2 linked regions of the Drosophila melanogaster genome follow. The protein of the gene in region 1 interacts with the protein of each later gene in a pairwise test. Each region holds a gene or a part of one and is shown in the gene's direction. Other genes may lie near its edges.

The links.
Region 2: the proteins of CG34149 (region 1) and Ravus interact in a two-hybrid assay, tested with the Drosophila melanogaster proteins (one large-scale study listed by BioGRID).

What each region holds. Positions count from the first base shown.
Region 1 is NT_033777.3:22,370,275-22,387,086, forward strand, and holds CG34149 (uncharacterized protein), read left to right. Parts: upstream 1-9,853; 5' UTR 9,854-9,892; coding exon 9,893-9,927; intron 9,928-9,981; coding exon 9,982-10,864; 3' UTR 10,865-10,979; downstream 10,980-16,812. Other genes in the region: PyK (pyruvate kinase), read left to right, coding at 504-1,893, 1,952-2,108, 2,195-2,207; CG7069 (uncharacterized protein), read left to right, coding at 2,963-5,197; CG18596 (uncharacterized protein), read left to right, coding at 5,761-6,930, 6,987-7,636, 7,695-7,880, 7,943-8,506, 8,570-9,091, 9,160-9,330, 9,392-9,539; CG43342 (uncharacterized protein), read left to right, coding at 11,155-11,250, 11,311-11,757; Gpdh3 (Glycerol-3-phosphate dehydrogenase 3), read left to right, coding at 11,951-11,994, 12,056-12,230, 12,289-12,868, 12,931-13,084, 13,138-13,230, 13,285-16,153; CAH8 (carbonic anhydrase 8), read right to left, coding at 16,330-16,716, 16,785-16,812.
Region 2 is NT_033777.3:13,251,766-13,268,654, reverse strand, and holds Ravus (ravus), read left to right. Parts: upstream 1-4,593; 5' UTR 4,594-4,656; coding exon 4,657-4,688; intron 4,689-4,748; coding exon 4,749-5,796; 3' UTR 5,797-5,922; downstream 5,923-16,889. Other genes in the region: Su(var)3-7 (suppressor of variegation 3-7), read right to left, coding at 1-822, 890-1,867, 1,923-2,267, 2,336-2,920, 3,355-4,139; CG11686 (uncharacterized protein), read right to left, coding at 6,534-6,617, 6,885-7,013.

The sequences.
Region 1 (16,812 bases):
CATGAAAAATGATTGGTGCGGCGAGCATTTGGGCTTAAATCGCCGTATTTGGCCCGTTTGGTTCTATTTATAAGCCGGTGGTAAACATTTAATTTGGTCGATAAAAACTGTATCGATTTATATTCGTTGATATGAAGAAGGGTTATCATGAGTTTTGCACGCATTCGCCACGTTTATGTTGGGGTCCTAAATGTGTTTCGCATTGCATGACTTCACCAGGGCATGATTTTAATATCATAAAACTAGTTGGTTTTTTTATTTTTTGCTAGAACTTGGTAGTTTTTAAAACGCGTAGGGTTTCTTGTTGCTAGGAAGAGACTTCTGATTATTAGCGTAAATTGGAAATAAATGCTTAAAATCAATAAACACGACTTTAACCTGTTTTATTGCAAAAGTTGGCAATCAGCGTGTTGATTTCTAAAAATAAAGAATCAATTCGCGCTGTTTATAAATATGAAGAGAAATGAAAACAAACAGAATTAAGTATAGTTTTCATTTTGCAGCCCAACGAAGTACCCCAAAACATGGCCGCAGGAGCTGATACCCAACTGGAGCACATGTGCCGTCTGCAGTTCGACTCGCCAGTGCCCCATGTGCGTCTGTCCGGAATCGTGTGCACCATCGGACCTGCCTCCAGCAGCGTGGAGATGCTGGAGAAGATGATGGCCACCGGCATGAACATCGCGCGCATGAACTTCTCTCACGGATCGCACGAGTACCATGCCGCCACCGTGGCCAATGTGCGCCAGGCGGTGAAGAACTACTCGGCCAAGCTGGGCTACGAACACCCCGTGGCCATTGCCCTGGACACCAAGGGGCCCGAGATCCGTACCGGTCTGATCGGAGGCAGCGGCACCGCCGAGATTGAGCTGAAGAAGGGCGAGAAGATCAAGCTGACCACCAACAAGGAATTCCTGGAGAAGGGCTCTCTGGAGATTGTGTACGTGGACTACGAGAACATTGTCAATGTGGTGAAGCCCGGCAACCGGGTGTTCGTCGATGACGGTCTGATCTCACTGATTGTCCGCGAGGTAGGCAAGGATTCCCTCACCTGCGAGGTGGAGAACGGCGGCTCTCTGGGTTCCCGCAAGGGTGTGAACCTGCCAGGCGTGCCCGTCGATCTGCCTGCCGTCTCCGAGAAGGATAAGAGCGATCTGCTGTTCGGTGTGGAGCAGGAAGTGGACATGATCTTTGCTTCGTTCATCCGCAACGCCGCTGCTTTGACCGAGATCCGTAAGGTTCTTGGCGAGAAGGGCAAGAACATCAAGATCATTTCCAAGATCGAGAACCAGCAGGGCATGCACAACCTGGACGAGATCATCGAGGCCGGTGATGGCATTATGGTGGCCCGTGGAGATCTGGGTATTGAGATTCCCGCCGAGAAGGTGTTCCTCGCCCAGAAGGCCATGATTGCCCGCTGCAACAAGGCTGGCAAGCCTGTGATCTGCGCCACTCAGATGTTGGAGTCAATGGTGAAGAAGCCACGTCCCACTCGCGCTGAGATCTCTGATGTGGCCAACGCTGTGCTCGATGGTGCTGATTGCGTCATGTTGTCTGGTGAGACCGCCAAGGGCGAGTACCCGCTGGAGTGCGTCCTGACCATGGCCAAGACCTGCAAGGAGGCCGAGGCTGCCCTCTGGCACCAGAACCTCTTTAACGACTTGGTTCGCGGCGCTGGTACCATCGATGCCTCTCACGCGGCTGCCATCGCTGCCGTTGAGGCTGCCACCAAGGCCAAGGCCTCCGCCATCGTGGTGATCACCACCAGCGGCAAGTCGGCCTTCCAGGTGAGCAAGTACCGCCCACGCTGCCCCATCATCGCGGTCACCCGTTTCGCGCAGACCGCCCGACAGGCCCATCTCTACCGTGGACTGGTGCCACTCATCTACAAGGGTAGGTTTTTGTTTCTCCAGGTCGTTCTTTAAATTATAACTCTGGCTTGTACTTGCAGAGCCCGGTCTTGGTGACTGGCTGAAGGACGTGGACGTGCGCGTGCAGTTCGGTCTGCAGGTCGGAAAGAAGAACGGCTTCATCAAGACCGGCGATTCCGTCGTGGTGGTTACCGGCTGGAAGCAGGGCTCCGGCTTCACCAACACCATCCGCATTGTGTAAGTTTAAATTCTAGCATGTAGATATATATGTATCTGTGCAAAAATTATATCAACAAAACTAACGCAATTATCTATCATTTCAGCACCGTCGAATAAATTCTGCCGCTCAGGAAGTACCTGGATGCGTCGCAGCTGCCGCGGGCGTCGCGTTGATTACTGTTAATAACCAAGTTAATTTATTAATTACACAATATTCGGAATATTGGAAACTGCAGGAGGCTGCTGGAACCGCTGTCAGAAGCGCCGAAGGCCGGCCCGGGCCTCAAACAGACACACAAATATACTATACCATTGTTGAATAATAGAGATTTCTTCGAAAATTATAATAAAGTCATCACTGTATTTATGTACGTATGGAAAGTAATGTGCCATTTTCTCCTTATACTTGGAACCTTTGGGTATTAGGTCTGCATGTACGAGATCCACATCCAGTTCCCTATAGGCAATTGATTTTATTCGTTTTTGACAGGTAACACTACATTTTATTTTTGTTTCGGTGTATCAAAATTTATTCAAAATTCATCCATACGCAAGAATCCTTAGTCCAGGGTCCACAGTGCCCATATGTTCCACTTGCCTGTTAAACCTAAGATATCGCTGCTATGCCAGCAAATGCAAGAAAGAGAAGGTAGGACGTTGTTACGTTGGGAGTCAATCATCCGCTTATGAATTCTTTCCAGAAACCACCGAAGTTCCGACTGGACCGCGGACCATTCGCCTCCCAGTTGGATTACCAGTCGCGACTGCAGTACCAAGCACCTGCCCTGAGTATCCCCCTCAGCAGCATCATATGCACCATTGGACCCTCATCCAACAGCCCAGAAAAGCTATTGGAGCTCATCCGGGCTGGGATGCGGGTCGTGCGTATGAACTTCTCTCACGGCTCTCACGAGTATCACTGCCAGACAATACAGGCGGCTCGTAAGGCCATCGCCATGTACGTGGAGCAAACGGGTCTGCCCAGAACATTGGCAATTGCTCTGGACACCAAGGGTCCAGAGATCCGGACGGGCAAACTGGCCGGTGGCAATGATAGGGCTGAGATAGAGCTCAAGACCGGAGACAAAGTGACATTGAGCACCAAGAAGGAGATGGCAGACAAGAGTAACAAGGATAATATCTATGTGGATTATCAGAGGCTACCTCAACTGGTCAAACCAGGAAATCGGGTATTTGTAGACGACGGATTGATTGCATTGATCGTGAAGGAATCAAAGGGAGATGAAGTGATCTGTCAGGTGGAGAACGGTGGCAAGCTGGGCTCCCACAAGGGAATCAATTTGCCAGGAGTTCCGGTAGATCTTCCCAGCGTAACGGAGAAGGATAAGCAGGATCTTAAATTTGGGGCCGAGCAAAAGGTGGACATGATCTTCGCATCGTTCATACGAGACGCAAATGCTCTGAAGGAAATCCGCCAAGTACTTGGACCGGCTGGAGCGTGTATAAAGATCATCTCTAAGATTGAAAACCACCAAGGTCTGGTAAACATAGACGACATTATCCGTGAATCAGATGGCATAATGGTGGCCCGAGGTGATATGGGCATTGAGATACCCACGGAGGATGTTCCCCTAGCCCAGAAATCGATTGTGGCTAAGTGCAACAAGGTGGGCAAGCCTGTGATCTGTGCCACCCAGATGATGGAGTCGATGACGAACAAGCCGCGACCCACTCGTGCCGAAGCCTCGGATGTGGCCAACGCTATTTTCGATGGCTGCGATGCCGTAATGCTGTCCGGTGAAACGGCCAAGGGCAAGTATCCGGTGGAGTGCGTCCAGTGCATGGCCAGGATCTGTGCCAAAGTAGAAGCAGTTCTATGGTACGAAAGCCTGCAGAACAGCCTTAAAAGGGAAATCCGGACCAGTGCTGCCGACCACATTTCGGCAGTTACCACGGCGATCGCGGAGGCGGCCACGGTGGGCCAAGCCCGGGCAATTGTGGTGGCCAGTCCGTGCTCCATGGTGGCCCAAATGGTCAGTCACATGAGGCCGCCATGTCCAATTGTCATGCTCACGGGTAACGAATCCGAGGCGGCCCAGTCTCTGCTCTTTCGCGGCATCTACCCACTCCTCGTTGAGGAAATGGTTATTGGCAGCTTTAACTTTCGACGCATCATGCAGTCGGGCCTGAAGCTGATGGGCAAGATGGACATCTTGGAGCCGGGTCAGAAAGGATCGGTGGTGCTGGTTAATGCCATGTCGGCAGAAAAGATCACCTTCCGGCTGTTCACTATCCGTCAGCAGACCAAGGAAGAACGCGATCAGGATGAGCGATGCCGAAAATTGGCCCTAGAGCAGAGCTGCAAGGAGAGGGCTGAAAAGGAGGAATGCAGAAAGCTCCAGCAAGCGGAAGAATGTCAGAAGCAAAAACTGGCCAAAAAATGTAAACAGTTCGAAGAGAAGCAAAAGGTCTGCCCCAAAAAGAATGATACTCCGAAGAATGATTGTCCGAAGAAAGATTGTCCGAAGAAAGAATGTCCCAAGCAAGATGACGAAATCTCAAAGTGCAGGCAAATGCAAGAAGCGGAAGCTGAAGAAAGGAAGTGCAAAGAAGAGTTTGAACAGATGTGCAAATTAGCTGAAGAAAAAAGGAAAGAAGCTGAAAAATGCAGGAAAGCGGACGAAGAACGAAGGAAAGAGGAAGCTGAAAAGTGCAGGAAATTGGAAGAAGATAGGAAATGCAAATTGGCTGAAGAGAAGAAAAGGAATGAAGAAGAACTTAAGATAATAGAAGCAGAAGTGGCCAAACTGGAAGCTGCTGAGAAGGCCAAGCGTTTGAAGGAGGAAGAGAAAAAGAAGGAAGAACTAATGAAGTGCAAGCAACGAAATGAAGCGAAAAAAAAGAGGGAAGAGGCTGAAAGGTGCAAGAGAAAGGAAAGAGAAAGGGAGCTAGCTGAAATGGAAAACAAATGGAAACAGGTTGCGGAGAAAAGAAAGAGAAAGAAGGCAGCAGAGATGTGCAGGAAAATAGAGGATGCAAAAGAAAAAGCCGCGGCAGAATCGGCTGATAAGATTCTGAAAGCTGTGTGCGAAAAACTAAAGCAATCTCTCTCGGATCCGGACAAATCAAAAAAGGGCAAGAAATAAAGTGAAAGCTAATGGCAGATTTATATGGAACATTTTAACTTTTAATACGGTGTTACACACCGAATTCCAAATTATTATATAAAACTATTGGAATTTTTTAAATTTTCTAGTAAAACAATGTAAAGAACGCTATTGTCGAGTTATTTGACTATAGGCGCGAACGGAAAATTTTCAAATTTGGGCATATCGATAAATATTGGAAAATACACATTTGCTTATCGGTTCTTTGAAAAGTAATAATTTCATACCTGCTAACCAAATTAAACTATGTCATTATGCACGTTCACACCTCCACTGATAAGATCGAAGTCATTGTAATCATTGGACATCACCTCTAAAAGTCATATTTTATAGAGTCAACTTTTCGAAATTAATCGCCTACAATTGATTTCACCACATGATGAAGATAATGAAATATTCGATATTAATCGTATGCAAGTGATTTCACCACATGATGAGGAATGGCGAAATTCTAATTCTCCCAGCTGCTTGATGTTGACAGTATTTAAACCAAACAAAGGGTTAGTTTAGAGGGTTCTTCATCGCGAGAAAAAGGTACTACCATGTCATTGCCCACGACCAGAGCCACCACGGCCACGACCACTCACGCTGTGGTCCAGGCTGTGGAAACGTATATTCAGAACCAGAATTTGCTTGGCGAGATCGCTGAGCTGGACGACATGCTGTACGATTTGGTGTCCATGCACAAAGACAACGAGCTGGCCCTGAAGCGTGTGCTGCAGTGCATCCACAACCTGTTGCAGACGAACAGCAAGTATAACGTCCGCTTTGGCCCAAAAGTTTTTCACAAACTGGTCTCCGTGGTGATTGCCGACAGTCGTGAGGATTCGGCCAGCCGGCGTCAACTGGTGGCCAATTTACTGGTCTGCGTGCAGCTTCATATACGGAAGTTTCCGCGTATCGAAGCCAAGTTCGTGCTGCAGCAGCTCTGGTCGCTGAGTCAGAGCAATGAGCGGCAACCACATGCGGCCCAGATCCTGGTACACCTTTTCGATGATTTCGTCAACAACTTGGGAACGGAATGCGCCCAGGAACTGCTTGTGCTAACGCGGAATCTTCTACAGTCTGATGTGCGCGATGATCGACGCTCAGCGTATTTTCTTATGCACAAGCTGCAGGAGATCGACGAAGTGCTTGCCGCTCTCCAGTGCAGTGAGGTTCAGTGGAGCGCGTATGTGGGCATCATGGAGAACCTCGAGGAGCAGCAGTCCCATCTTGTGCTGCCCACTTTAAGCACCCTGCTGCCGCGCATGGGCCTGATGTCTAACAATTTGAGTGAGGATTGGCTGGATTGGCTAAGGATTCTGTGCATACGCCTCCTGGGCGACAACAACATCCTCGTGTTGCGCTGGACCCTGAAGTACTTCCTATCCCATTTTAGCCTAGAACAGATATCGCGTTTCAATCTTCTAACACAATTCCTTGCTGCTACCAATCGGACGCAATTGTACAATCCAGAGGTGCCCGATTGCCTCACTAAGCAGCAAATAACTGATTTTAGTGCACAATTCCCGGCAGAGATATTGCTGGAAGCGCTTGTCTGCGTTCCGTGGCATGCAGTTCCCCTGATCCACTGGCTTCAAGCATGGGAGCTAAAGCAGCTGCCGGTGGTTTCCAAGGAGCTGCTGTTTAAGTTGGGCGCTCGCGTTCGTTCCCTCCAAAATCCGGTTTTGCGTGGTGAAGCCATCAATTATGTGATTTTCTCCTTAAGTGTAAGTTTAACTTATATAGAAGTTTTAACAATTTTTTGACTTTAATCCCATTAAAGGCGACGATTGACAGCCTGTCATTGGGAGATTACCTCCTCTTCATGGAGTCTTTGTACAATACCATCGACCGGTATCAATCTCATTCACAACTAGCACAGAAAATAAGAAATTGCAGCAATTTAGAAAAACATATTGCTAGTTTCAACATTCGTTGCTGTGAACTTGTATCTCAAATGGACTATAAACACGATGTATTTGTTGCGTTCTTGGAGAAATTACGAACAGTTCCAAAATCCAAACATGGCTGGTGGCGACTTTTACCCATATTTCTGCATCGGGAACTGGATCATCCAGAACAGTATTTAGATTTCTATCGCTCTGTCTATGATTTAGATACATCTTTTCTTGAAAGTGGTGTGAGTCTAGAGCAGATGCAGCAGCACCTTCTTAATCGATTGGATTGCCAGACCAGAGAAGAGAAGTCCTTTGTGCTCGAGCACTCTGTGGATCTTTTCGTACAGATAAATCTTCCAACGTGGAGCAAGTTAGAAGTACTTAACCTAAATCCCCTGGAACTTTTGGATCGGGGTACTGAAGAAACATTTGCCACCTTGTCGAATATATTGTCCACGCATGATGAACAATTGGCTGACCAAAATGTATTGCCCGCCTTTATATCCCGTTTGGGAAAACTAAAGGTCAGGGAAACGTGAGTAATATATTCGCTATATTTTTGTAAGTCAAGTTATTAATTCATTGATTCCCAGACAAGCCATCCTAAAATATGCAGTGCAAAATCTTTCGTCAGAAGAGTATGAAAAGTGCGTAGTGGACGTTTTGGAGAAAAACACCTTTCTTTTGGGTACAATGGACTGTGAAGAATATATTAAGGCACCCACCTCGTTTGTTATAAAAAGAATGCTGCAGGGAGAAACCACTACTGGCGATGCACGGCAAGAGAATAAATATTTTTTTCGTGAAATTACTATATACAACGTTAATAATAACTCCGCAGCATTGAACGCGCATTTGAGCAAATCTCGGATACTGGAGCCATGGATCGTGTGCAATTTATTCAATATGCGAAGAACAGCACTGGTTTGGATATCAGCTTCATCTGTGACGATTTGCTTAGAATGAACAATGAGCTGTCCAGAAAAAAACCACGCTATTTTGCAAACTGCAAAGAGCACAGAATGAAAATGCGAATAGGCAAAGCTTTGCTCGACCTAAGCGACAGATGGAAGTGGTCGGACAACCTGTGGGAAGCCGTCTTGTGCCCTAGCGATCAGCCTAACATTAGCTTTATGTACGAGTACCTTGTCTCCAAAATGCTGCCAAGCATCGATCTATTGCTGGAGCAGTTAAAGCTACTGGCAACTCTAAAACCGAGCCAGCAAATTTCGCTTGTCTCTGTAGTCCACATATACTGCTTGACTCGCTGGGAAAGCATACAACATGAACAGCTTGTCGAAGTATTTGCCGTCCTGTTGCCTCTCACAATGGGAGCAAATTTTCAGACTCGTTTGCTGGCCCAATTGGTTTTGCATCGGATTTGTAGCGAGTGCGAGGATCGAAGGTAATGAAATTAGTATTATATACTACTTGTTGCCGAATTTTATTAATATTTTGATATTTTTAGCATTCAAATGCCAATAGCTGATGCATTGAAGAAATCCATCAAGGTTACATTGAGCGAAAAATTAACTGAGTTTCAGTGCGAAGCTCGACTTTTGTTACCAGAACTAGGCAAACAATGCCCGACATCCGTTTCGGATTGCATTCTGATGATGACGAATGCACCATTTGATGAAAACATCAGTTTTATTAGTTGTTCCTATGACTTTCGAATGAAACTAAAGCGCGCCCTTGAAACGTTTAAACGGAAACAATCGGTTTTGATACCTGAGCTTGCAACGTCCTTGGCTGCATTAAACGGAAATGTGCAGCGAAAAATGAATCCCGTCGGAGATATATATCCGGAGAGTGACTTTGTTGTTTCGAACAAAGCTAGAGATGACCACGAACTCATTGTGGTGGCCTCGCTCATAGACAAATTGCCAAATCTGGGCGGATTGGCGCGTACCTGTGAAGTTCTGGGCGTTAATACCCTAATATTGGGTTTAAAATCACAGGCGGAGAAAAGCGATTTTACAAACTTGAGGTATGCACGTCAAACATCGCGGTAGCCCTATTATATTGCTTTATATAATTATAATTATATTATTTTAGCATGACTGCTGAGAAAACTTTAAACATACTTGAAGTGAATCCAGAATCGCTTGCTGGATTTCTGCTGGAAAAGCAAATGGAGGGTTATAAAATCGTTGGCGCCGAGCAAACTGCACACAGCACAAACTTTGTTGACTTTAAGTTTCCCAAGAAAAGCATTCTTCTTTTGGGGTTCGTAATCAACATCTTGGGCGTATTTTTTGAAAACTTATTGTTCTGCATCCCTCCTCAGGCATGAAAAACATGGAATACCAGCGAACCTTATTGGATTCTTGGACTACGCCGTCGAAATTCCCCAGTATGGCTTAGTGCGCTCTCTAAATGTACATGTGGCTGGATCACTATTTATTTGGGAATATTGTAAGCAGCACTTAAATTAAATTCATAATTTGACCACCAACAAATGCCTTTAACAAATAAAGTAAATACCTAAAAATATTGTACAAATGTTACTATATAAATGTTTTGTGTTGTATATATCTTAAAAAAAATACACCCAAAATAAATTACCTATATAAACTTAATTGTACTAGCTATTAGTATTATTTCTATTTTTTTAAATGTGTTTGTTTGCCTTCGGTGAATTAATCGAAGTAAATATAATTCATTCTCTTAAAGTTTCGCGCCTTGTTATCGATAACCAGTATTTACCGATGACGCTTGCCTGAAACAGCTGATCCTATAATCACAACATCACAACAAACCCATTGTAAACAACTTCGAAAAGACGAAAATGAGCTTCTCGGAAAACACCTCCGATTCTGAATGGTAAGTCCTTGAGGCCGGAAACTCTCAAATTCTATACGAATGCTTCGCTTATAGGAAGACAGACAAAATGCTAAAGGCGCGGACTGCTAAGAAATCTTTAAAGCTGGACAAGGAGCACAGAACTCTGAAACCTAAATATAACCAGAAGTTCTGCGAAAAGTGGCTCAAGATTTTCGATCCATGGCTCCGACGGGCGGCCGAGGATCCTAACAAGCCATTCTGCCGCGCTTGCCAGTGCACCATGGACTGCAATCGATGCCACCTGGTGCGGCACGAGCGAACCACCAAGCACAAGCGCAATCTGGAGGCTCTGCTCACAAAGGGCGAAGGCGCGGCGGTCCAGGAGTTCCGGATTCGCCAGCAGCGTAGCAAGTACTATCACCAGCGTAAATTGGTAGTGATGGAGCCCTTGGCTGAGAACCACGAGTTGGAGCCGCCTTCCACTCCAGAGCCTATGCCCGTGATGGCCATTGCTGATCAAAGCCTCTGTTCTGCAGCCAGTGAGAAGGTGACAGTACCCAAACAGGAGTTCTTATCAGAGACAGAGGTCACAACAAAGATGACCGAACCCCCGTCAAGCCATGCCAATTGCAGTGACAGCTCCTCTTCTGCCTCTAAGCAGGAGGGCATAAAGTTACTAATGCAGATCCACCAGGACAAAAACGAACTCATGGAATCCTTCCGCGAGCTGATGGGAAGCCAGAGGACCCTAAGTCACACACCGCCGCCCAAGGAGAAGAATCATGTGGATCTGTTTTTCGAAAGCGTCAGTTCCAGCGTGAAAGCCCTCTCGCCAAAGTTGGTAGCGGAAGCCAAGATGCGAGTATCGCAGCTGATCTGTGAGCTCGAGCTTCGCGGCCTCAGTGAAACCAGCCAAACGGACGCACTGAATCCAAACCCTCAAGCTAATGAATCGCTCGCACTGCGCCCATCATGACAATCCCTTGTCCTTCAGCATGAATTTAGAGGCATACATTAATTTTAAATTTAAAAATAAATGTTATCGATTTTTATAAGATCAATGCAAATATACTTTATTTGTTAGATATACGAATCAAACTATTCAAAATAGGTGCGAGAAATGGTATCGGACTGTTTATCGATAGGCTAGAGGCTACTGCTACTGCCATCTCCAAAGCGCGGCTGTGTTTTCTTCCAATGTTTATTAAATTTGAAGCAGCTAATGCAATTTAAAGGCTTAAGTGACAAAATATTCATAACATAAGAATGTGGAACACTTCAAATGTGTATGATGAAACGACCTCTGAAAATGGCGACAACGAAGAGCAGAAAGCTTCATACATTAAAGAAGATCATATAGAGGTATAATTACTAAGTTGCCCTTAAATTTACAAATATTTAAACGAAATTATGCATTTGCAGACCGAGAGGAAAAGTTTGCTACTCATCAAACGGAACAACGTAGCCCTACAGAAAAGACAGCTACCCTACTCAAGGCCAACGCCGCAGAACCGCCAGGAACTTGTCGAGAGCATCGAACAAGACCGTAAAGTGCTGTCGGCGTACTTCAAAAGGTTGAGCTCCCAGCGAGATGAAGTCACTTCACCAAATGCAGCTCCACCGGCGGCTGATTCCCCTGTTCCTCAGAGAAACAGCTACGATCTTTTCTTTGAGAGCGCCTGCATCAGTGTCAAAGGCTTGCCACCCAAACTGGCGGCGGAAGCCAAGAGCCGCATCTCCCAGATAATCACCGAGTTCGAAATCCGCGCCATATCAGAAATGGAGGCCCAGCAGGAGCACAAAATGCGGGCCCAGAACAGAATGGATAATGCGTCCGGGGTTGTTTACGAGTTTCGTCCCTGCTCGTAAAGTAGGTTGGGTGTTTGCCTTTCAACTACCTTAACTCATCCTATACACTTCACATTTGGACGCCACCTAACTCTGGACTATCAAAATTCATAATAAAAATTTAAAGCATTCTACATCCAGTTAACACTTAGGCGGTCATTTGGTCGCGTTTCGGCCCTAAATTATTGTTGTTCGTTAATTTAAAGTTGGATCAATGGCCGGAAAGTTGAAAATATGCATCATTGGGGCTGAGGGCTGGTAAGTTCTTTCAATTACCAAGTCTAAAACACATTTAACTGCTTTCAAATGGCTTTTCTAGGGGCTCGGCCATTGCCGCCGTCGTGAGCAACAATGTCTTGGAGGGAGACTTCGACAGCCGGGTGCATTTATATGTCTACGATGAAATGATTCGGGACACTGCCCTATCGGAGATCATAAACACTCGTCACGAGAATGTCAAGTATCTGCCTGGGATCAAGCTGCCCAATAACCTGGTAAGGAAATTCTTGCAGTGTTTTGGTATCTGCATTATACAAAATATTTTTGTATTAGATCGCTGTAAATGATCTTTTGGAAGCTGCCCAGAACGCAGATATCTTGGTATTTTCCACCCCGCTGGAGTTCGTGCAATCCTACTGCAACATTCTGTCTGGTAATGTTAAGGAGTCGGCCTTTGCTGTTTCCATGACCAAAGGATTGTTGAGCGAGAATGGGGAGGGGATTGAGCTTGTTTCGCACGCCATTAGCGAGAGTCTGGGTATCCCGTGCTACTCTATGATGTCTGCACATAGTGCCATGGAGATGGCACAGGGAAAGCTGTGTGAGGTGACCATCGGTTGCAGCGATAATTCTCATTCCAAGCTGCTGATCTCTGCTATGCAAACCAATAACTGCAGAGTTATTTCTGTTAATGACGTTGACGGAGTAGAGCTGTGTGGAACGCTCACAGACGTCGTTGCCTTGGGAGCGGGTTTCATAGATGGTCTGCGTCTGGGTGAGAATGCACGGTTGGCAGCCATCCACTTGGGTGTCAAGGAAATTATGCGGTTCATTAAGACGTTCTTTCCTTCCTCCAAAATGTCCACATTCTATGAGAGCTGTGGCGTAACCAACGCGGTGGCTTCCAGCTTTGGTATGTACAAAGAAAAATGAATCAATTAATAAGTGTATAATATCAACTGCGCTAATTTAAAGTCGATAAAAACGTCACATTTGCAAAGAGCCTAGTAACATCAGGCCAAACCATTGAAGAAATAGAAGCAAACCTCCATAGTGGCCGCAAGCTTTTGGGTCCCATGGTGGCCAGTAATGTGAATGCATTTTTGGAGAATGGGCTTATGCAACACGAGTACGTATAAACTAGATTTTAAGACCCTAATAAACATACTTCTAAAACTATAGATTTCCGCTTTTCACGGCCATCCATCTTATATGCCAAAGTGAGGCTCCGCCGGAACTGATGATAGAGGCACTGAGAAACCACCCGGATCTAAGGTAAGAGATTTTAATGTTCAAATTACCCTTAACTCATCATTACTCCTTTTACAGCAGTTCATCCATTTCACATTTACTGAACCATGAAAGGGACGAGCTAAAAACGGACCAAGGCCTTCCCGAACTGAGGACTGCTTTAGATAAGATATTGACGGAGGCGGGGAACGAAAACATTAAGCAGCTCAAGGTTATGGACGATTGGACAGAAGTAAACGATTACGACGTCGAGGAGACGTACCATGAAAAAGTGGCATCACGAGATTCCTGTCTTGAGACCGAAATTATGCCAAGCCGTCTGAGCGTGCAAGCTGCACAGCTCTATAATGACATCCGGGATGGGAATGTTGGGGTGGCCTTTAAAATGGACATCGATGAAGGCAATCGCCAAGTGCGGCTCTTGCTAGAGAAGGAAGACGAAATGGCTAGCGATGCAGCCTTGACAGTTATTTCATCAAGATTGACTGCGGGCCAAGAGGATGACAATGCCAGGATAGGCCACGGACACATAACGAACACTTCCGCGGAATCCGATCATATGTCCAGCAAAAGCATTCCCAGTGGCTTGACTACGAAGGATTCGCCTGATGTCCTGGATTTGAGTTGCGAATCTGAGCCACTACATTCGTCAAAACAAAATAGCCAGCTGATGGAAGATGCGGAGACAAATTTCACGGAGCGTTTAAAAGTGAATCAACTTAAAGAGCAGATTGATAAACAAGAAGCGGCCAATTTTAAAGCCCAAGAAAATCTTATAAAATCTATAAGACAAACAATTCAGGCTCTCGGTGATAAAGAAAAAATGGAAAACCTTATCGCAAAAAGCAAAATGGAGGAGGACCCCTTCCAACTGAAAAGCCAAGTTGAGTCTTCGCAACTGAAGAGCCAAGTTGAAGGGGAGTCTTCGGAACTGAAAAACCAAATACAAGAGGAAGCTTATGAACCTATAAGTCAAGCAGATGAGGAACCATCCCAAATTAGAAGCCAACTAGATGAGGAATCTGCTCAGCTAAAAAGTCTAATGGACGAAGAAAATAGACAACTTGAAAGCGAAATGCAAGACGAGAGTAGCCTATTGAAAAGTTCAGCAGATAAATCCGAATTTGTTGCATACAACGCGGAAGAAGAGCAACCCATTGAAGAACCAACAGATAACCATCAGTATAAATTAAGATCAGATACTAATAAGCTTAAAGAACTTATGTTCACCGATTCCAGGGAGCACTTGGAGTCCGAGAAGCACATTGAAGTGAAACTTCAAGACGAACATGACTTTGATCTGGATGAGGAGCCAGCTATAGGAAAAAAAGACCCTACTTACACTAAAGAGAACTTGGAGCTCCAGGAGAGGCTCGAGTGGCAAAAGCTAAAGCAAACAGATAAACCCCACCATCCTTATTCTTCAGCGGATCTTGAAGATTCAACTACCAATGAAGGTAACGCCAGGCTTCCGATAGAGCATGACAATAGATTCCAGAATGTGGATAGGTATCAGGATAGAGAACTTGTTCAAGTAAGAGCTGAGTTGAAAGAGACTAGCGGAGCCGAGAGCGAAAAGGAGATCAACTTGATTAGCGAGCAAAGGCCGGATCAAAACCAAGATGAGGTCAACTTGCGCCCCCATAGCCATATCAAGACGGAAGAAACTGGCCATCACGAGTGGGATTGGCTAATGAACAATGAAAAGATCGATTCCGACGAGCAAAAGTTTTATGCCAACGAGAGGATGGAAACACTTAGCGAATCTGACCAGGATAAGTTGCAGAATCTTAATTATCAACTAAAAGAAGCCTTGCAGCATGATTTGGATGTGATGTCCGCAAGCAGGGGTAATGATTCAAATGAGGTGCTGTCCGAGGAGGACTCTAATCCAGAAGCTGCTAAGAAAATTACGGAGCAACCACTTAACCCCACTCCAAACCAAATCCCCGCAGTCCCCTTGCCAGTAACAATGCCTAGTAAACAATCACATATCCGCGAGGGCAGTCCACAGTTCCAGAATCAACCTAGATCTGTTCCACCACCCTCGCCACAAACAAAACCACAGTCGCCAAAGGAACAGCAGCCTCGCCGCACAAATGCGCCCGTCGAATTTGGAAACAAGGACGAAGCCATGGATCTAAATGAGTCAGCTTCTGATCAAGAGGTACCTAAGCGTAAAAAGATTTCGAAAACTGAGGCCGTGATTGAACCAGTCGCTAAGGATGTCTCCATGGCCGAGCCAAATGAGTCGTTACATTCTAAAAAGGAAACTTCACCAGCTAGTTTGAGTAAGCAGGAAAGCAAAAGGAAGCAAAAAAGGAGCTTAAGGAGACCATCTAGTGATTCTGATAGCACTAAGACAACGAACGAATTCGAGAAGCAACGTCAGATTATAGAAAACCAGAAGGCACAGCTGGAAAAAATGGGTAAGAAGATCAGCGTTATGCGGCAGGGTCAGGATCGTCGGGTTAGCTACAAGGGTCATAACCCCTACAGCGCTGACCCGGATCTGGAGTCTAGGCCACCGATGGACACCAGCTTCGAAAAGGACAGAACGGGGGATTACCAGGGACTGGGCCATCAGCGTCGCAAAGTAGTCGTGGCGCCGCCCTTTCATCCGCCTATCAATCCACGAGTACGCGTGCCGCGACCACCTTTCGATGGACGGGATCATGAGTTCCATACGATGACTACCGCGCCAGTGGACAGACACCTTGCTCCGGCAGCTAAGTGGTCGTCTTTGCCCACGACTCTGAAGCTGAATCGCAACTCCCTGGTTGCCAACATACAGGTCAAGCACTTTGCCGCTCTGCCCTGTCAGGCGTTGCCGAAACCCATATTAAAGTTGCCGATGGGAGTGCCACGCACGCCCACGTTTTCAAAGATCCTCTGCGCCTTGCAGTTGGGATTGCTGGCCTCCTACCTCGCTTGCAGGAAGGACTAAGTCCTAGATTAGTAGCTCGGCTTTTCGATTCCCCCAATAGCAGCATGATCAGCATCAGCATCAGAAGCATGATATAGAATACTTTACTTTTTTAAAAAATAAATGGTGTTAGATTCAATCTAAATAAAGGGTGTTCGAATTCATTTACATAGAGGGTGTTAGATTTAATCTAATGGCTATAGCCATATCAGTTCTTGGAGATGCTCCTGCTGCAGCGGCACTATATGTTGACGGTGAAATATCAGTCGATTCTCCTGCGATTGTAGTGGCCGGAAATTCTTTAGCAACGGCCGACCGCGCTCATCTCGGAGGTTCCAGAATTTGGGCAGATCCTGGTGCGAAATGGGAAGGACCTCACCGAACACGTGCCACTGAACCACCGGTGAGCATGGTGGCGTCGTTAGGGAGCCCTTGTACGTGTAAAAGTTTCCCCTGTCAAGAGATCCCAGCAAGGATCCCAGGGTGAGCCGTTCCTGCACAGTGTAGCTGGCATTAAAGTTGCCCAAATGGAGGAGGGAACTAAAGATTTCACTGAGTCCGGGCTGATAAAAGAATGGCCCCGACTAAAAAGTGAATTGGTAAATCGGTAAGTAGAGCGGTAAAGTTAAGCAAATCCCGCATCTCTACTTACTCGAACAACCTTAAAGAGCACCGCCAGT
Region 2 (16,889 bases), 9.1 Mb from region 1:
GGTGCTTCCGAAGTGCCACCTTGACTGAGTCGTCCGTTCACGTTGGTCCGACTCTGTGTTGTTAGTTTGTCAAGAGGTACACAACGCACGGAATCCGTCTCGAGGCGGTTGGTCACTTGCGTTTGGTTGGAAGTTAAGATACGGCGTATATTCTCTGGCAGGTCTTTGGCGCTCCCATTGATGGTCACTTGGGCAGAGGAAGCCCCGGTAACTGGCTCTTTCGGTACGGTTTCCTTGTCGTTATTATTGTTCTGCCCATTATTGTATTCATGCGGTGTTGTGACAACCGAGGAATGCAAATCTGCATCGACAGAAGCAAGGGGAGCTGAAATAGGAGCAGGAGGAGTTTTAACTGGGGTCACCGTAGTTGAAGAAGGCCATTTCGAGGAAGCAGAAACTGTAGCTGGGGTTGGAGTTGTCGCATTTCTCTGCATGGCTCGAAGCTCCAAGCTACAAACGAGCTGCATGATTTTCGACTTGCCCTCTGCGGCTAAATCCGGCGGCAGGGACTTCATGGTCGGCGAAATGCTGTCAAAGAAGAGATCCATTACATGTCGTGGCTCCGGTGGCTTAATCGGTGACACTGTCACCGATGGCGGCGCCTGGGCCATAGACTCGTTATGTGCGACCGACTCCCGTTCCAAAGTTCGCAAGCGTGTAACAATATCAAACGACGAGCATATCATGTCCCTGGCCATGTCCATTTGGGAGCGTTCTTCCTGTCGCTTGCCCATTGAGTCGCGAAGGGCGCGTATTATGCGACGAACCTCCATTGAGCGTCGGGACCGCTTCGCCAGCGGTTCCGCTGTGCTGCCATCGGATCTAAGTAGCCATAATGAGTGTGGTTATTAGAAACGCTTAATGAAGGGATTTCGAATTCTAAACTCACCGAACGCTCATATCGTTTTCGCTCTCCTTGTCCATTCCAGACTCCTGCCTTTCCGCATCAACGGTGGAAGTGGGACTAACTGATGGTGCATTGGCGGCAGCGGCGGCATTGGCCCTTTGCCGCTCCTTATTTTCGACGTGCTTACGCGAAGCGTCGTGTTGCCGCAGGTAAAATACCTTGATCGGCAGCCGGCTATCACAAACACGGCAGTGACAGTGATTCTCGTCATTGGCATCAGGATCCAGCCAGTCGTACTTCGCTTGCAGCTCTGCCATAGCCGCTTTCTGTCTAGCCTCGGCGCTGGCCAAAGCCGAAGCTGTGGCCACAACAGTGGATATTTCACCTGAGTTTTTGTTCGATGTTTTCAAAGGGTTGCCACCATTGCGCTTTCGATCAATGCGGAGGCGTATGTGTCGGGAAGTCCTCTGGTGCTTGGAGGCCCACTTGGATGAGGGCAGGTAGAGAGACACTTCGCACAGCTTGCACCAAGCATAGTTTCCACGCTGCTCGTTCTTTTTGTAGGAGAGCCACGGGAAGCGGCCCTTCCACACCATAACCTTGCCCTTCATGGTTGCCGGAATGGGCTTGACAAAAAGCTTATTGTCCGCTCGAGCAGTCTTTCTTGCCTGCACGGTGCCCAAGTCGAAGTTGCTTTGGGAATCTTCTTCTGCGTCCTCCTCTTCTTCTCCATATTCCTCGTCCTGTTCCTGTGATTCTTCATCATCCTGCGCATTATGTTTAGTTTGCGTGTTTGTGCCCTGGTGCAGTTTCGCTTGCCGCATTTTGAACTGCTTTACCAGCTTTACATGCCGGGCACTCAACTCATGCCGCGCCTTTGCCGCTTCGTTGTGAAAGCGCACGCGGCAGAATTTGCAAATCTGAGTCTTTCGGTCCTTGGAGTAGCAAAGCCACGGGTAAAAACGTACCCCAGCGCGAACCGTGGCCTTTCTTGGCTCGCTAGAGGACTTATGAGCAAAACTATACGAAATTATTATTATTAAAGTAAAAATTAAAAATATTTTAAGCAACATACCCTTTTCCGAGTTTTTGGATCTCGGACCAATTGTCATCGTCATTATCTTCGCTGTCATCGGTCTGCGATGACTGGGCTTGATCACTTGCCGCCGCTTCCTCTTCATCCATGTTATCGCCGCCTCTGCCGTCAGCCGAACCAACTTCGATGCCTGCCTTGGCGCTGGCCAAAGCCAAGGTATGCTTCTCGGATTTTTCGTGATTCTTGCGCTTGATCTCTGAGTTTCCATACATGAATCGCTTGCGACAGACGCTGCAGTACCCAATGCTGGGGTCTTCGGGATCAGCAATCAACCAAGGATGCATGTCGGCGAACACGGCCCAAATGCCGCGAATATCTGAAGAGCTGAGGTAAAAAAGTGAAAGCAGTTAAAGAACAGGTGCTATTTACGTTCTGTAGGAGTGTCAACTCACCCCTTTTCAGCGGGTGTCGATAGCATGTGACAATGAGCTCTGGTTTTACAGTGCCGTAGGAAGCTGGTAATCGCCATTGTGCAGTTGCAGAGCGTACATCGGCATTGCTGTGGATTGGTGTCCGGAATCAGTGCACACCACTTGCCAGGGTCGTCGCCTGAGTCCACATCGCCGTTCATCATAACCACAGGGGTGTCCTGAGCATCCTCCGGCCCAACTTCTGGTTCAGATTCCTTCTCTCGCTCGGCCTCATCCCCGCCGCTATTGGTCACGCTGTTGCTCTTGCTCCTCTTTCGCTTCCGACTCCGCTTATCGGAATCTAGGTTGCGCAGTGCCTCCATGTGACCTTTGGTGGTTTCGTGGCGCTTGCGCAAATAGACAAACTCCACGTTCATTCGCACGCTGCAGATGCGACATGTCCCGATGGTCCCTGTGGGCATGGAACGTTCAAGCCAAGGATGCCAACGGAGCCAACGCAGCCAGTTGAAGTTGTTAAATGCCTCGGTCTCGGAGATTCGTTTTTGCTTCATGGCGGCCACATAGCTCTTGGTGCCGAATTCGTGCTTGATTTCGTTGTCGCTGATTCTACGGATAATTGGGAGTTAATAAGTGTTCGCAAACTTTCGGTGATCTCAATATGATTTCGGTATTTCGTTTTTTAAAGGTGCAAATCTTACTAACATTACGAGTAGAGCTACCCTCATTGAAAGCAGGGAGTGTAATATATGTAAAATCTATTCTGAACCGCGACCAAGCCTATCATACACCAGTTTCTTTGTGTCAAACAATTGCTACACGTTGGAAAATTAATGCGGACTCGGAGCAGTGCTCCCTTCATTAAGTTGGCAGTTTTTTTCACACTACAGTGGGCTTTCTGGATTTCGGTACAAACCCTTTACAAAGTGAAAGGCATTTGAAGAGTTGAGCTTTTACTTTATACGGCGGATTAATTAACTTGATTTCTCCGAATTTTAGATTTCTGTACTCTTTTTTGTAATCTTTAAAACTGTGACACTTACGCTCCTCGAGTTTCCTCCTCACTTTTCTTGAATGCCAGATAGTTGCACTCGCGTTCCTGGTGGGAGAGCGACACGTTGTGCTGTTGGATGTGTCTAGAGCGGTTGTTCACGTTAATGGATATGTTGCAGTAAAGGCAGAACGCTAAGGTGCCATCGGAGTCCTCGTGTAGGATCCAGGGCCAACGCTTCATCCAGAGGAGCCAGCGCTGTGCGCGGGGCATCTTGCGGCGCATGCCTCCGTCAACGCCACCGCCATTGCTGCTTTCGTCATCCTCGTCGTCGTCATCCTGGCTGTCTCCCGGATCATGGATTTCAATCCTCTCCAGCAGGCCCATGGGATCGTGGTACGAATGGGAGCTCTCCGCATCGCTGGAGGGTTCAGTTTTAGTGGACATGGCATCGGGTTCACGTTCCTGGTCTTCCAGGAGGGGATCCTCGCTGGCCTGTTTGTCGTCTGGGTTATTTAGAGCGGACTGTAGCTCGGCCACCAATGGAGCATGTTCGTCATCCATGATGTCCTCAATACACGGGTCATCCCGCATCGGGTGCTTGTCCTCCTCCACCACCATGGCCACATCCCCATCGTCATCATCCACCACGATGACCATGGAGGTCTCCACTTCCTCGATGTGATCCGGATCCACCAGAGCACCACCCTCTACGTCCATAATTTTCAGCTCGTGCGTTGCCGACGCTAAAGTTTCTGAATTTGCAGACGCCATTTTGAGGTCTGGGTTGCATTGAGCATCTAGGTTTTTCGCCTGCATGCTCGAATCCCGATCCATCACGAGATACTGGTTATCCAGGCACTTTGCTCTAATATTTGTTAGCTTTTGGGAGATCACAGTATACGGTTATAAACTAAAAAAATAAAAATAATCGCAAGCGAAAACTCAGAATCGCTGTCAAGGCGATGGCCAATGTGACCGTACTGTTGCATTAAACCGGCGGGCTAAGGACCATATACTAAGGAAGTTCAAAAAATACATAAAATGCAACTGAGGGACTGGACTGGTCACTTTATTGAGAACGGTCTTAAAACGTACTGTTCATAGTATAACTGCAATTATTTATTTAATAACTACATGAACATTATGCTTAGAAAGCATATAAAGAAATTACATGCATTAGCATATGATTCATATATCGTTGAATATTTAAAATAAAGTGTGTAGAAACAAACAACCGGTGTGGGTGACAACTCTTACAGCATGTGCAAAACGGGTTATGCGGTATTTCTATGCATGTGCGCACGGTCATACCTCACTGGATTTTGTTTATATTTTGGAAAAGACTACCCAAATGTCAAACCTCCAGTTAACTCAGGAAAAACTGTGAGTATACCAAAGTAAGAGACCAGGGTCTTATGTTCACTGACTATATTCGCCGCCCAGAGATGCCCTACGCTCCGAATACAGGCCACGCCGGCCGTGCGCCCTGCTGAAATATCCTCGACCCAAGACAAAGCCGGAGTACCAGGCGATATATCCGTGGTTGCTCCCGGATGAGACGGATCCGCACTTCGTGTTCTGCGCGGTGTGCGAGTGCAGGCTCAGCTGCAAGAGATCTGATCTGGGAAAGCACGAGGGTAGCATTAAGCACTCGGAAAATGCACAAAGAAAATCATTGCCAGCCAAGGCAAACAATTCGAGCTTCAATGGATCCAGCTCCGGTGCGATGAAGTGGGAGGATACCGAGGACGAGGAGGGTCTACTACAATACGGAACAGATCCCCAAGACGACGAGACAGAAGATGAGGAGGAGGGAGAACTTGACGAAACAGAGGGCGACTGCGAGGACGATGAGAAGCGGACTCAAGAACTGGAAGCACAAAATGATCTCGAAACGGAGCCCGTCATTAAGCAGCAGCGCCGCACTTCGGAGACCGACTCACAGAATTCTGGCATGCTGGATTATCTGCCACTACACGTGACCATCAACGAGGGGCCTCAAAGTCTTCCGACCACTGTCTCCGCCTATCCCACATCCTCAGCAACAGCAACAGTAGCTCCGCCATGCAGGATCACCATTAAAAAAGTTCCAGTGCACAGTACTCCACTCAGTGGGATGTGCCAAGCTCAGGAGATCAATTCCAAGGCCACCATAACGCCTATACACACGACGCCCTCCTATGCTGCCCGCCCGCTGCAATCTTATCAACTGCAACCATTGTCACCTATAACGCCACCGCGCGACTCATTGGAGCTGTTCTTCGACAGCATATGTGCCACCGTCAAGAACTTGCCGCCCAAACTGGCCACCGAGGGTAAGATCCGGGTAATGCAGCTCATTGGGGAGCTCGAGTTGCGTGCTCTTTGCGAACAGGAGGCGCTCTCTGAGGTCGCCGGACTTCCGGATCTCGCGGGAAACTCCAGGTCTGGAGCAGCTGAAGCCTCAGGCAGTGGTCAGCAGAATGCGACAGTGGCTTCTACCACCAAATAAATTCACCTGGACTTTGGAATCGGTTCCAAACCGTGCTCAATACGGCAATTAGAATATATGCTAGTGCTTTCATTTTTTAATTTTGTTAACTGATTTTCATTAATAAAGTTATTTATTAGTTGTTGTAGTGTGGCGTGCATTTATTCTTTAAATCTATCTGATGGTGTTTTTGTTCTATGAAATGGCTTCATTACATTTCATCCGTTTAGAAATTTAAGTGCCCAATAAATGGGCTCATTAAGGTATTAGGTTCGCTTTAATATTTCACTAACTGCATTTCAAAAAGTGTTTTCCTGACCTTGGTTTGCCAGCAAAGTATAAATTGTGAATTTTCTCAGAGAATGATATCACGGAAGAGCTGTAATCAATGGAAACCACTTCTTGTGTGTGGGTAACAATTGTGATTTACTTATTGTGAATGATACAAAGCGAATTCTCTGAAGGGTAAATATTACGCATGTACAATACCATGTGATAAAAAGTTTATCGCATGATAGTTTAATGTATGTTCTGTAGGTAAAGATAGTAAAAATCACTCCATCAGGCGAATTTATCAACTGTAACGAACAAACAACATGTAATATCAGATTGAATCAATCAGAATCAATCAATTGAAAAAATGCCAGTAATTATAAATATAAGTTAATAAATCTTTATTTGTAAAATTGTAAAAAATGATTGAAAACAAGAGTTATCAGTAAGGCACTTAGTTAATTGATATTGGGGAAATATCCCCCTTAAAAAGCTTGCTTGCCCTCTAACATGGCTTTCCCGCAGTAGAACGGGAACTGGACTCCCTGGAGCAGAATGTCCGATATGCCCTGCGAAAGTAAGAAAACAAATCGGTTAGCAATGTTTTTCCAGGCAATGGGTGTGGGTGGGTCTACATATCGGGGCCAGCTATCGCGGTTTCCCATAAGCTCCGGTTGTGGGTCTGATAAGTTCCCCAAATGACTAATGGGTTAAACATCTTGACGGCGCGATAAGGAAAGTGCCTCATGCAACCAGCAGGTGAAGCAGGTAAATTGACTCACCCCGCCATATAACTTCAAATGCTGCTCCCCAAAATAGAAAAAAAACCCACTTACCGTCAGGGCGGGAATGCAGGAGGCAAATGCGTAGACCCAGATGTAGAAAAAGGCGCAGAAGAATGCCACGAAGAAGGAGACGAACCAGAAGACCAGCAGCCAGAAGACGAACCACAGTGGATTTGGCATCGTGATGAGTGGTGTTGTTTGTTCAGAGCGATTTCAGCTGTGCGATAAGATAAATACAAGGGATCTTATTAGTGGAAAGATCCATAAAAAACTGAAGCTTATCAGTCGTCTTCTTAATAGAGCATATCTCATTAAAAACTTCAAGACTTGGAGCTTGCTCGAGCATAAAACTAATTTCTGCATTTCGTATATTTTTAATAAGCAAAACACATGTCATTAATTTGATATGCGCCTTAAAAAAGTGACCTCATAATATTTTTAATGAGCTAACAAATTAAATCTTGCATTTCGATAGAACACGATTCTGATAAACCCCACCTAATTAAAAGAGCTTCTAAAACGTCACTTCTATTTCTAAATCATTTTTTCCATCGCTGTATCAACGTTCCCATTTAAGATAGTGAATGTCAAGTTATTCGAGCAAGTAAATCCTTCAGTAAACCCCATTTGTGTTTGCATACCACACTCATTTATAAATAGTTTTTAGTCATATGCAATTTCAAATTATATATTATATAAGTAGACCTTGAGTTAGGCCTTTGAAGATTACTGAAGTTTGAATTTTAGTTAATATCTTCCTTCACTATAAAATGATTAAATATTCGGCTTTCTCCTAAAAATACTTTTTCACTTTTTAGAAAATATTATTAAAATATGCATACACTCAGGTTTTACCACCGAAAAATGCATTTGAATGGCTTTCTTCTGCATTTAGATTTCACTTTTGGGTCGTGACAAACATACTAACGACCGATTTGGCTCGGTTTTGAGACTGATTTTAGAAACACTGACGTCAAAACTGATTGTGACCAAAATAAGGCAAAAATAAGGCAGAGTATGAGGTCGAGGCCTCGACCGCCGATTTCGAGCCGAATTCCACGATCAAGTGGTGATTATAGTACTCTCAAAACAAGTGTCGTCATTATGCAAATCACAATGCTAGCGAGCACTGCACTTGACGGGGTGTGTCGTCTTAAGTCATCGCCCATCTTAAGTCATCATAAAAACAATTGCAGATCGCCCACAAACCGGTTGGCGAAATTAGCACACGGTGAAATTCGGATTAATTAGACCAGCCGAATCTGAAGTATGCGCCAATTAATAGGCGTACGCCAACTATGCGTAAGTATTTTATAAATACTGTATACCACGCACCCACGTATTTAAGATCGAAAACAACTTAATAGCCGAATGCCAGGCAGCCAAAGGAAACAATAACAAACCAAGTAGACGATCGGATCGGAGGTCGACGTCCGGGGGATTCGAGAATGGAATGAAGACTGAGAAGCGCAAACCGGCGCAACAAGTTGCATGCCCACTGCAGGCAGGGTTGTCACCCGTCGCACTGCCGACGCGCACTTTCGAAGGAAAGCTTCGCGAAAAAGCTTTTGGCAGCGAGGGCCGATCTGAGAGTTAAGCAAAGTATTTATTGGGTTACTAAGGTTAGTTAAAAGAGAACTCAATCTTTTTAAACCAAATACATAGATAGTCTTTGTGTAAGTAGTATTTGTGTAGACAGTATTTGTGTAGATATTATTTGTGTGAAAAAAATAAACATTTTTTCGAAACAACAGTCAATAACAGTGAACACAAAAGGTACGGAAAATATTAATACAATTTTATTAAACTAATTTTATTACATTTGTCGTTATCATTCGTTTATACTATGCTTCCATCGAAACAATGTTTAATGAAATTTCTTCTCCCAATTCTTAAATTACAATACTAGCAAGAAAGCAAAGAAAAAACATTTAAAGTTCGTACACATTGTGAATGCCCTTATCAGCGGAACTTATCAGTCAAATGTTTGGCCATTCCGTTTATGCCTTTTGGCGCTTATCTTAGCCACTGCCGCATTCGGTTTCCCGGCCAGCAATCAATCGACGCTAAGAATAAAAACTTGGCCAACCTCAGCTTCGTTTTGGGAAAGCTCTTCGTGCCGCAAGAAGCTTTATGCGGCTGCTTGTCAATGTTTTCATATCAAATTTCCTATAATATATCACCCCCCCATTTCACCGTCCATATGATGGTGTGTGTGTAGCCAAAAAGTTGTTCATCCCGGACGCCGACGCCGCATTTTGCAGCTGTTGTTGTGGTCGGCTGCTGTTTTCTCCGATTCTCCGCATTCTGCTGCGAGTCGTCGGTCACGCTGGTTCCGATTTTCATCCGGTTGAGCTCAACAACAAACTGTAAAATAAATATATACATATACAAAAAATTAAAAAAAAAAAATAATTCAAATATGTTTACAAATCGAAAATATTCCAGACTTTTATCGGCCTAAAAGGAGTTTTAAATCATTGTCCAATTGTGGTGCATACTTTGCGGCGCAAATCAGCTGCCTTTTTATGAGAGTGTGTGTGTGTGTTTGAGAGAGCAAGAGAGCGAGAGCTGACTTTGTATGTGTGTTAAAAGTGTGCGATCGATTTTCGGTTGCCCCACGAAAACAAACAGAATCAAAAATATAAAAAAAAAACTAACAAAAATGTTTAAGACTTTTTAAAAGCTCATTAAGAACTACCAACAATTAAACAAAAATATTTGCTTAACTGGAGGGTCTCTCAAATAAACAAACAACGCGGACCCTTGAGATAATGAAATTTGGTATGGCTCGCTAGAGCAACAACAAATGCGGCAAAATGTCGCAGAAAAAAGTTTCCGATTTTGATTGCGAACAAAAACAAGCTAAAGCTTCAGGCCAAAAATAAAGAGAGAGAGAGAGATGGTATAACAGTCGCTCAAAAGCTGTCGAGAGAGAGGGAGAGAAAAGAGAGAGTGAAAGCATAGTCCCGCTATTTTGCCGAGAGAAATAAAGAGCAGAAAAGCAATGTCCGTTTAAAGTACGCATTGCGATGCCTTTTAGCTTCAGTTTAGCTAGAGACATCGTCGTGTTTTGAACGGCTGACACAGTTTCGGAGTTCAGCGGATCGAGCGGACTACGCCACACTAGTATTCAGTTCAGTGCGCAAAAAAGGCCAAAAGGAAAACCAGAAAAACTTTTAAAATAGGCAGGATAAAAGAAGGCAGACCGTACATCTTTAAAGGGAAACACCATACCCTTTCTGTCCTCAAGCCAGCTCTTTCAAACAAACACACACATACACATACCTGTCATGCATATGGCATAACACGGCCAGAAAAGGAAATTCATTAGTCAGATTCTGTGTGTGATAAAGTGAAGTTTTGGTGCTAAAATCTAGTATTCAACGCAAGCAGCCCTGCACTTTATTTACAGCTTGGAAAATTGGCAAATCAGAGAGTCGGAGAGGTTTTAAACATCAAACATAAACAGAGTCATGTAGTGAGCGACCGAGGACAACAGTTTCAGCGCACAAAGAGGTAAGTTATCTGTTGAAAAAATCAAATTTTTAAATGATAATTGCCTTGCAGAATAATAGCTTTGAATATTTATTACTTAGGTCTATGTCTTTTTCATTTTCATTTTGACTAAATAATATTAAAAGAATATTTTCCTATTTAGAGGATTAGATTCTCCTCCCACGAGAATGTTTATTAATTAAAAATGATGTTTTGGTATTGTCCTAACAAGTGGTATTTAACAATATAATTCAAGTAATAACAATAATGCTGGGGAAAACAAATCAAAATGGAACATCCCCTTAGTGATATTGTTTTGGTTATGGAATTTCTTCTTCGATTTTAGCATTTAACGATTTTTGATGAGCTCAGTGATCCGTGAGGTCCTCAGCTCACACAAATACACGCAAAAAGGGAGAGTGGTAAAGGGAGAACGACAGGATACCCCGGGAAATATACGAGAGAGTCTTACAAATTCATAATTTGTCTGTTTACATACAAGGACCTGGTCCCTGTATTGGTGGTTTATCGAGTGGCGCTGCCTCAATGTCCACCCGCTTGTCCCACCTCCCAACCAATGCCCTCCGTCCTTAATTTCCCTGAACGAAAGCGAAATTATTTTTTTATTTTGGTTTTTTTTTTTTTATTTGTGGGGCACGTAGGCTCCATAACTTCCGCTCGGTCGGCTCACGCGCACACCTGTACCCACTCTCATACACAAACTTATACACACTTTTTGGCAACTCACATCGAGGGCGAGCACATTTAAAATTCTGATGAAAAGACACTTTTACTTTATTCTTTCACTCGCCGGCACACAGGAAAAATTCATGTGATTGTCATTTCCTTGCCGTCTCCAAAAGTGGTCCATGTCACTTTTATGAGCTCATCTCATAGAGTAAAACGGTACATTGTATTCAAAAAAATCATGCTTTCAGACTCCATTAGGTATGCAAAATCGGAAATACATAAAATGCCAATACTTTTAATTTTGAAAATGTAAGAATAGTAACTTCACTCAGTATTTAGTTCAATTCGCACACGTTCTGAATTCTGAATGCTGAGCAGAATTAAGCCTGCCGTTTTTTTCAGTGCATTGGGCATCGCACTTTTTCACATCTTTTGAGTATTGTGTGCCCGAGTGCGTGAGTGCGCTTAATTCGTGTGTGTGTGTAAATATTTTGCTTGATAAACGCTCGACACACACACACTCTCGTCTGTCCTCCGAGTCGCCCACATGTCGCGTAATTCAACTGTCGATTTATCACACTTAACCCGAACACACACTTTACGGTTAGTGTAGTATACTATCATCTACTATCCACCATAATCCGCACATTTCATGCAGCATCATCATCCCATGATCATCACGTCATCATCAACCGGCGGCTTATTAGTTTCAAACGCTGATTAGTTGTCCAGTTTCGTGCGATTGCGTGCTGGGCTCAGATACAGATTCAGATTCACTCCTATTCCGTATTTTGTTTTTGTTTATCATTTTATATAAATTTGCTTAGGCTGGGGGACTATTCACGTACCAGCGCCAAAGATACATCTGTATCTATGCACGAGTATCCATGGGAGCATACAAATGCGAACAACTAGTTTGCTGGGCTTTGGGTGTCTGATATGGTTAGGGTTTCTTTTTTATGGGTCTGTGAACTGCATTCTTGATTGAGATTTATGTTGCATATATGCGCTTTTATTACACAATTATTTTATATTTTGTTACACAGGATTTTTTCTCCAACCACCCGAATGTTAGTTCGCTTTGATTGTAAATTTAATACAAAACATTTTTTCATTCAGTATATTCGCCAGTTTTATTCTTGGTTTTTAATTTATTTTCGTTTCTCGTACAATAAATATCTGGTTTATCTGTTTTTGCAAATCACAGAACCATTTTCGTTAGCTTAATTTACTTTTTAACGAAATTTCAATTTAGCTATGTGACTTTAAAAATAGTTTACAGAGAATGCGCTTTTAACACGGAAAATTGGCAAATACGGGAAAAAGTGTTTAAATACATTGACACGATAAAAAATTTTTTTAATTCCTTAAGGCCATCTTATTTTATCAAATGGCTGCCACACACATAAAAACCATACAAATAAAAACCATACAAACCAAATACAAATGTGTGATATTATTTTTAATAACGAGAGTTATTATGGAACTGGTAAATAAATTTGTTTCTTGATATAAAAAATTCCGGGCAAACGTTGCACTTTCCATTTTGCAATCAGGCATTGCTTAACAATTCAAAAACGCATTTAATGGTCATTAATTCAATTTGTCATTTGTTTGCCTCCAGGAATTAAATATAATATAATAGGATGCCGCTGCTGCGGACTTCCGTTTATCAGTGCTTCATCCATTATCCAACCGAATCCATCAATTCGACGCACAATGCACTCCATTAAGCCGGCCTGCAATTGCCACATCGCTTTGGTGGCGGGGGAAAGTGCAATTTCCCAGTGCCTCGTACATAAAATCAGCTATGCGATGTTAAGTTAATTGAATCAGTTGCAAAAATATGATTAAATCACAAAGGAAACCGACGGGCGTGGGAACTCCGACTCCCGTTCTTTGTGTCGAATTCGAGTTCAGAGGGACTTTGGCATACATAAAGGTCGAGCTCAAAAAACCAAACACACAGAAAGCAAACAAACAAAAAGCGAAGGCGCAATGCTTAAAGCGTAAAACACTTGAGAATTGCTTTACACTTTTCCGTTTTGGGCTTGGATTTTCCGCACGCCGTGCAATTTATGTTTTGTGTATTATTCCACACACACATATACATTTGGCGCGCCGTCAAATAATTCGCTGAACGCTGAAAGCTGAATGCGAAATGGCAGGCAGGATTTTCTTTTATTTTTTTTTGGCAACCAAGGGATTCGTGTTTTGAGTTTCCCTGCAGTCCGTGGGGAGTGCAACGCTTTTCCACTTTGCTCCTTTTTGCATTCCCATTTCACGGAGAATCGACAAACTCATAAAAGTCTTGGATTCGTGTTCCGAGCGGGTAACACGCGAAAATATGCAAATAAAATTCCATAAAACAATGCGAAGGACAAACAAACGAGCATAAAAAGGCAGCCATAAAATTGAAACAAAGGGGACAGTTTTATACCCTCGGCTAATATGAATATTGAATGACGAGCTAAGGGAAGGCCAGAGGAAAATGTTTTTATTATCCGAAGTTTCTTACTCTTAAGAAAGTCCCATTGAGTTTCAAACTCTAGAAATTCTGCATAATTCTCGTTCTAGCTTTTATGAAAATATCACAATACTCTAATAATATCGACTTCTGTTTTTAAGAGTTCTCTAAAGTATTTGGAAACATGACCATCTTACAATGCTATAATATTGTCTTAAAATTATTTAGGTAATATTATAGAAATCATATTATCAGGTCCAAGCATATATTCTAGCTGCCTTCGTATCTCAAAGCTGCCCATATCCTGTCCAACGCATTCGGACTCCATGGATGGGTATGTTTGCACTCGTACGAAGACAAGCACTTGGTAAATGGGTCGTTGCTCGTCCGTTAGAGCAGCATTAAAACGCAATTTTATTGCATATCCTCGGGAGCTTTGGGCCAGCCATCATTGTCTTAAGGGTCCGGCGATGACGATGACGATGGGCGACGACAGACCCGGGCTTCCGAATTGAACCCAAACGAACAGAAGCTCACGCAGCACAAATGGAGGGCAAGGAAAGAGCAAAGTACAGACGGAATACAGACACAAGACCGCAGACAAAAGGCACAAGTTTAGGGGCAACGGGGAATTGTTTAACATTAGTTTTATGCGATCCTTTTATTTGTCTGTGCCTGGGCTACTTTTATGAGTTTTCCTGTGGCCTCTGGCTACGGAATGTCGTGTTTTTCTCTTGGCCATTGCCCGGCGATAATAACGCGATTTGTTTTCTGCTGCAGTGACTGCATGCAGTCCCAATGGATTTTATTGGATTTACTACGCAGAATCGGTTGCAGCAGTATGGTTTAGAATGCAGCGAATGCAATAGGGCTAGAAGCCAAGAGGTAATCATTAGATGTTCTATATTGCAATTCCGTTTCTCAGCCATTATTATTATGAAACACAATTTCAATATTTATTAATATTACACATCTTGAGATATTCAATTTATTGGGTGTATCTTATATGCTTTGAGAAACTTACATAATGCCAATTACTGATCGCTTAAAAAATAGTTGTGTCGTATTTTTATAACCCGTTGGGGAGTTAAATGCGCATCAGTATACGGGAAAATAAGCTTCCACTTTCTGCGCCATTTTTACAGCAGATAATCACTTATAAGCACACACACAGACACCCACATACACGCAGACACACACACACACACGCTTTGAGACCGTGACGTGTACTGGGAATAAGCCGCATGATGTGTGTGTCCGTGTGCGTTAGCCAGCGTGTGTGTGTGTAAGCCCTGCTGCTCTGGGCATTAAAAGTAAACCAGGGTAAAATAAAAGCAAGTGCCAAGTGTGGCGCATGTGCCACTCAAAGGCAAACAAATGCGAAGTTCTGATGTTTCTTGGGGAATACGCGGCGTATGCGCGATTTTAGTGTGATTGTATTCGCCCAGCTTTGCTTGTAAATCGCTCACTGAGGTTTTCGCTGTTGTTATCGCCGGTGATACCAACTTTGGCTTTGCTTTAACATGCACAGATTACCTTTAAATTGCGCTTGCGATTTGAGACAACCTCGCACTGTTGTTAATTTCCAACCATTTTAAATGTCGTAAATAAGTGCGGACGTTTCAAGATTATCAAATAAGCATTACTATGAATTACGAATTATTTGTTATCTAAATACTTTTATAAGGTATACAAATTTTTATATAACTTTTGCCAAACTAATGAGCTTCACATTGTAAAACAAAGCATACGAAATAAATTGAAACGTTAGAGCATAATCAAATCTTAATCATAATTAATGAGATGACTGAATCTTTGATTTTAATATAGATTAATTTATTTTTTTTTTCGATTAACTGCATATGGATATGTTTGCACGTAGCGTGAAATATAATTTATTAATCAACTTAATTGCATGAGCCAGACTAATTGACAAGCGCCGAGTCTACATAAATATTAAATAACTTTGTAATTATTGTAACAAATTACAAATTATTGATGCGAGGTCCAATTAAAATTCAATTTAATTTCCAACGCGTTTTCCGTTTAATTTTTGCATATTGTTATTGTTGCTGTCGTGTGATTGGCGTAATTGTTGCTGTGGCTGCAATTTGGCTGATGCCGCAAATTGAATAACTCAGGCAAGTGCACACGAGCGCACACGCCCAATGTGATATGACCGGTCCCCAGGCCTCAGATCCACTTTCTATGCCCGGACAGGCAACGCTCTGATTATTTGTAATAAGCAGCCCAATTAAAACTCTTACGCTTTTATGAGCATAATTATCGGGGGAGCAACAACGGCAGGGCTTGTTATCAACACAATCATCGCTAGCCCGGCATCAATATTGATTGTTGACGTTGTTTTTGTTGCTCCATTGATGCGTGTTGTTGCCGATGGATGCACCGAGTGCATTATGCAGCTTGAATAGCTCAAATTGAGTCAGAGTTGTGGCAGGGCGCACGGTTCACAGGTCGTATGCGCAACGTGTCCAGGGCATATAAAGGATGCTGATGTTGTTCTTGCGTTTAATTAACCCGCCTGAGGCACATTCTGCTGTTCTGCTGTTCTGCTGGATGGGTCCCTCGGCCTGGATTTTGTGGTCAGGAAATATTCACCATGTATGCAGTCCTTTATGGCCGTGACGTCACTTGCCAGGCTTTCGCATTGTATGCTTGGTTTCGACGGCAATTGGCAGATGGATGGTTGCCCTTTGGCAGTGGCGCCCCAATGGCGAACGCTTTTATTTCTTGCGTCATTTCATATGAAAGCAGCACTCACATTTGACATTTTACAGCATCATCATCGGCATCAGTTGAAAAGGGACGAAGGGATCGAAAAGGACCGGCCGTTAGGACTGGACGTTGAGTATTCATAATCATTCAGTCCATAGAAGCTACTTATACAGCCACAGACCACTGGTCGGATACTTAATATTTAAGCTGATTATTGATATTTGATAATAGTAGCTAAATGGGATCTATATTTTATAAGTTTTATATTTAGTAAGTTTTCTCGTTCTTTTGAGATTATTTATCTTGTTATTGCCATCTTTAAAATTCTATTACCAAATCATATTTCATTTGCTGATTCCACTTCTTTAAGGGTTTTGCATTCTCTCTAGGTTAACGACTCTATATATTTCATAACCAACTGCAAGCTGAAAACACATAAATATGGAGTGAAACTGCCATAAATTCGAGTCGAGACCTGCGGTGCACGTTTTTGGGTCGTGTGCCCCGTACGTGTCCCGGGGACTCCCCAAAACTTGCTCAGGTTACTTAATATACAACTTTTGCCCCAAACACACACACACACAATTGCACACATGTCCTTTCCCGCGCGCGTGTGTGTCTGCGTGAGTGAGTGCTTGTGTGTCGGAGGCAGGAACAGTCAGAAA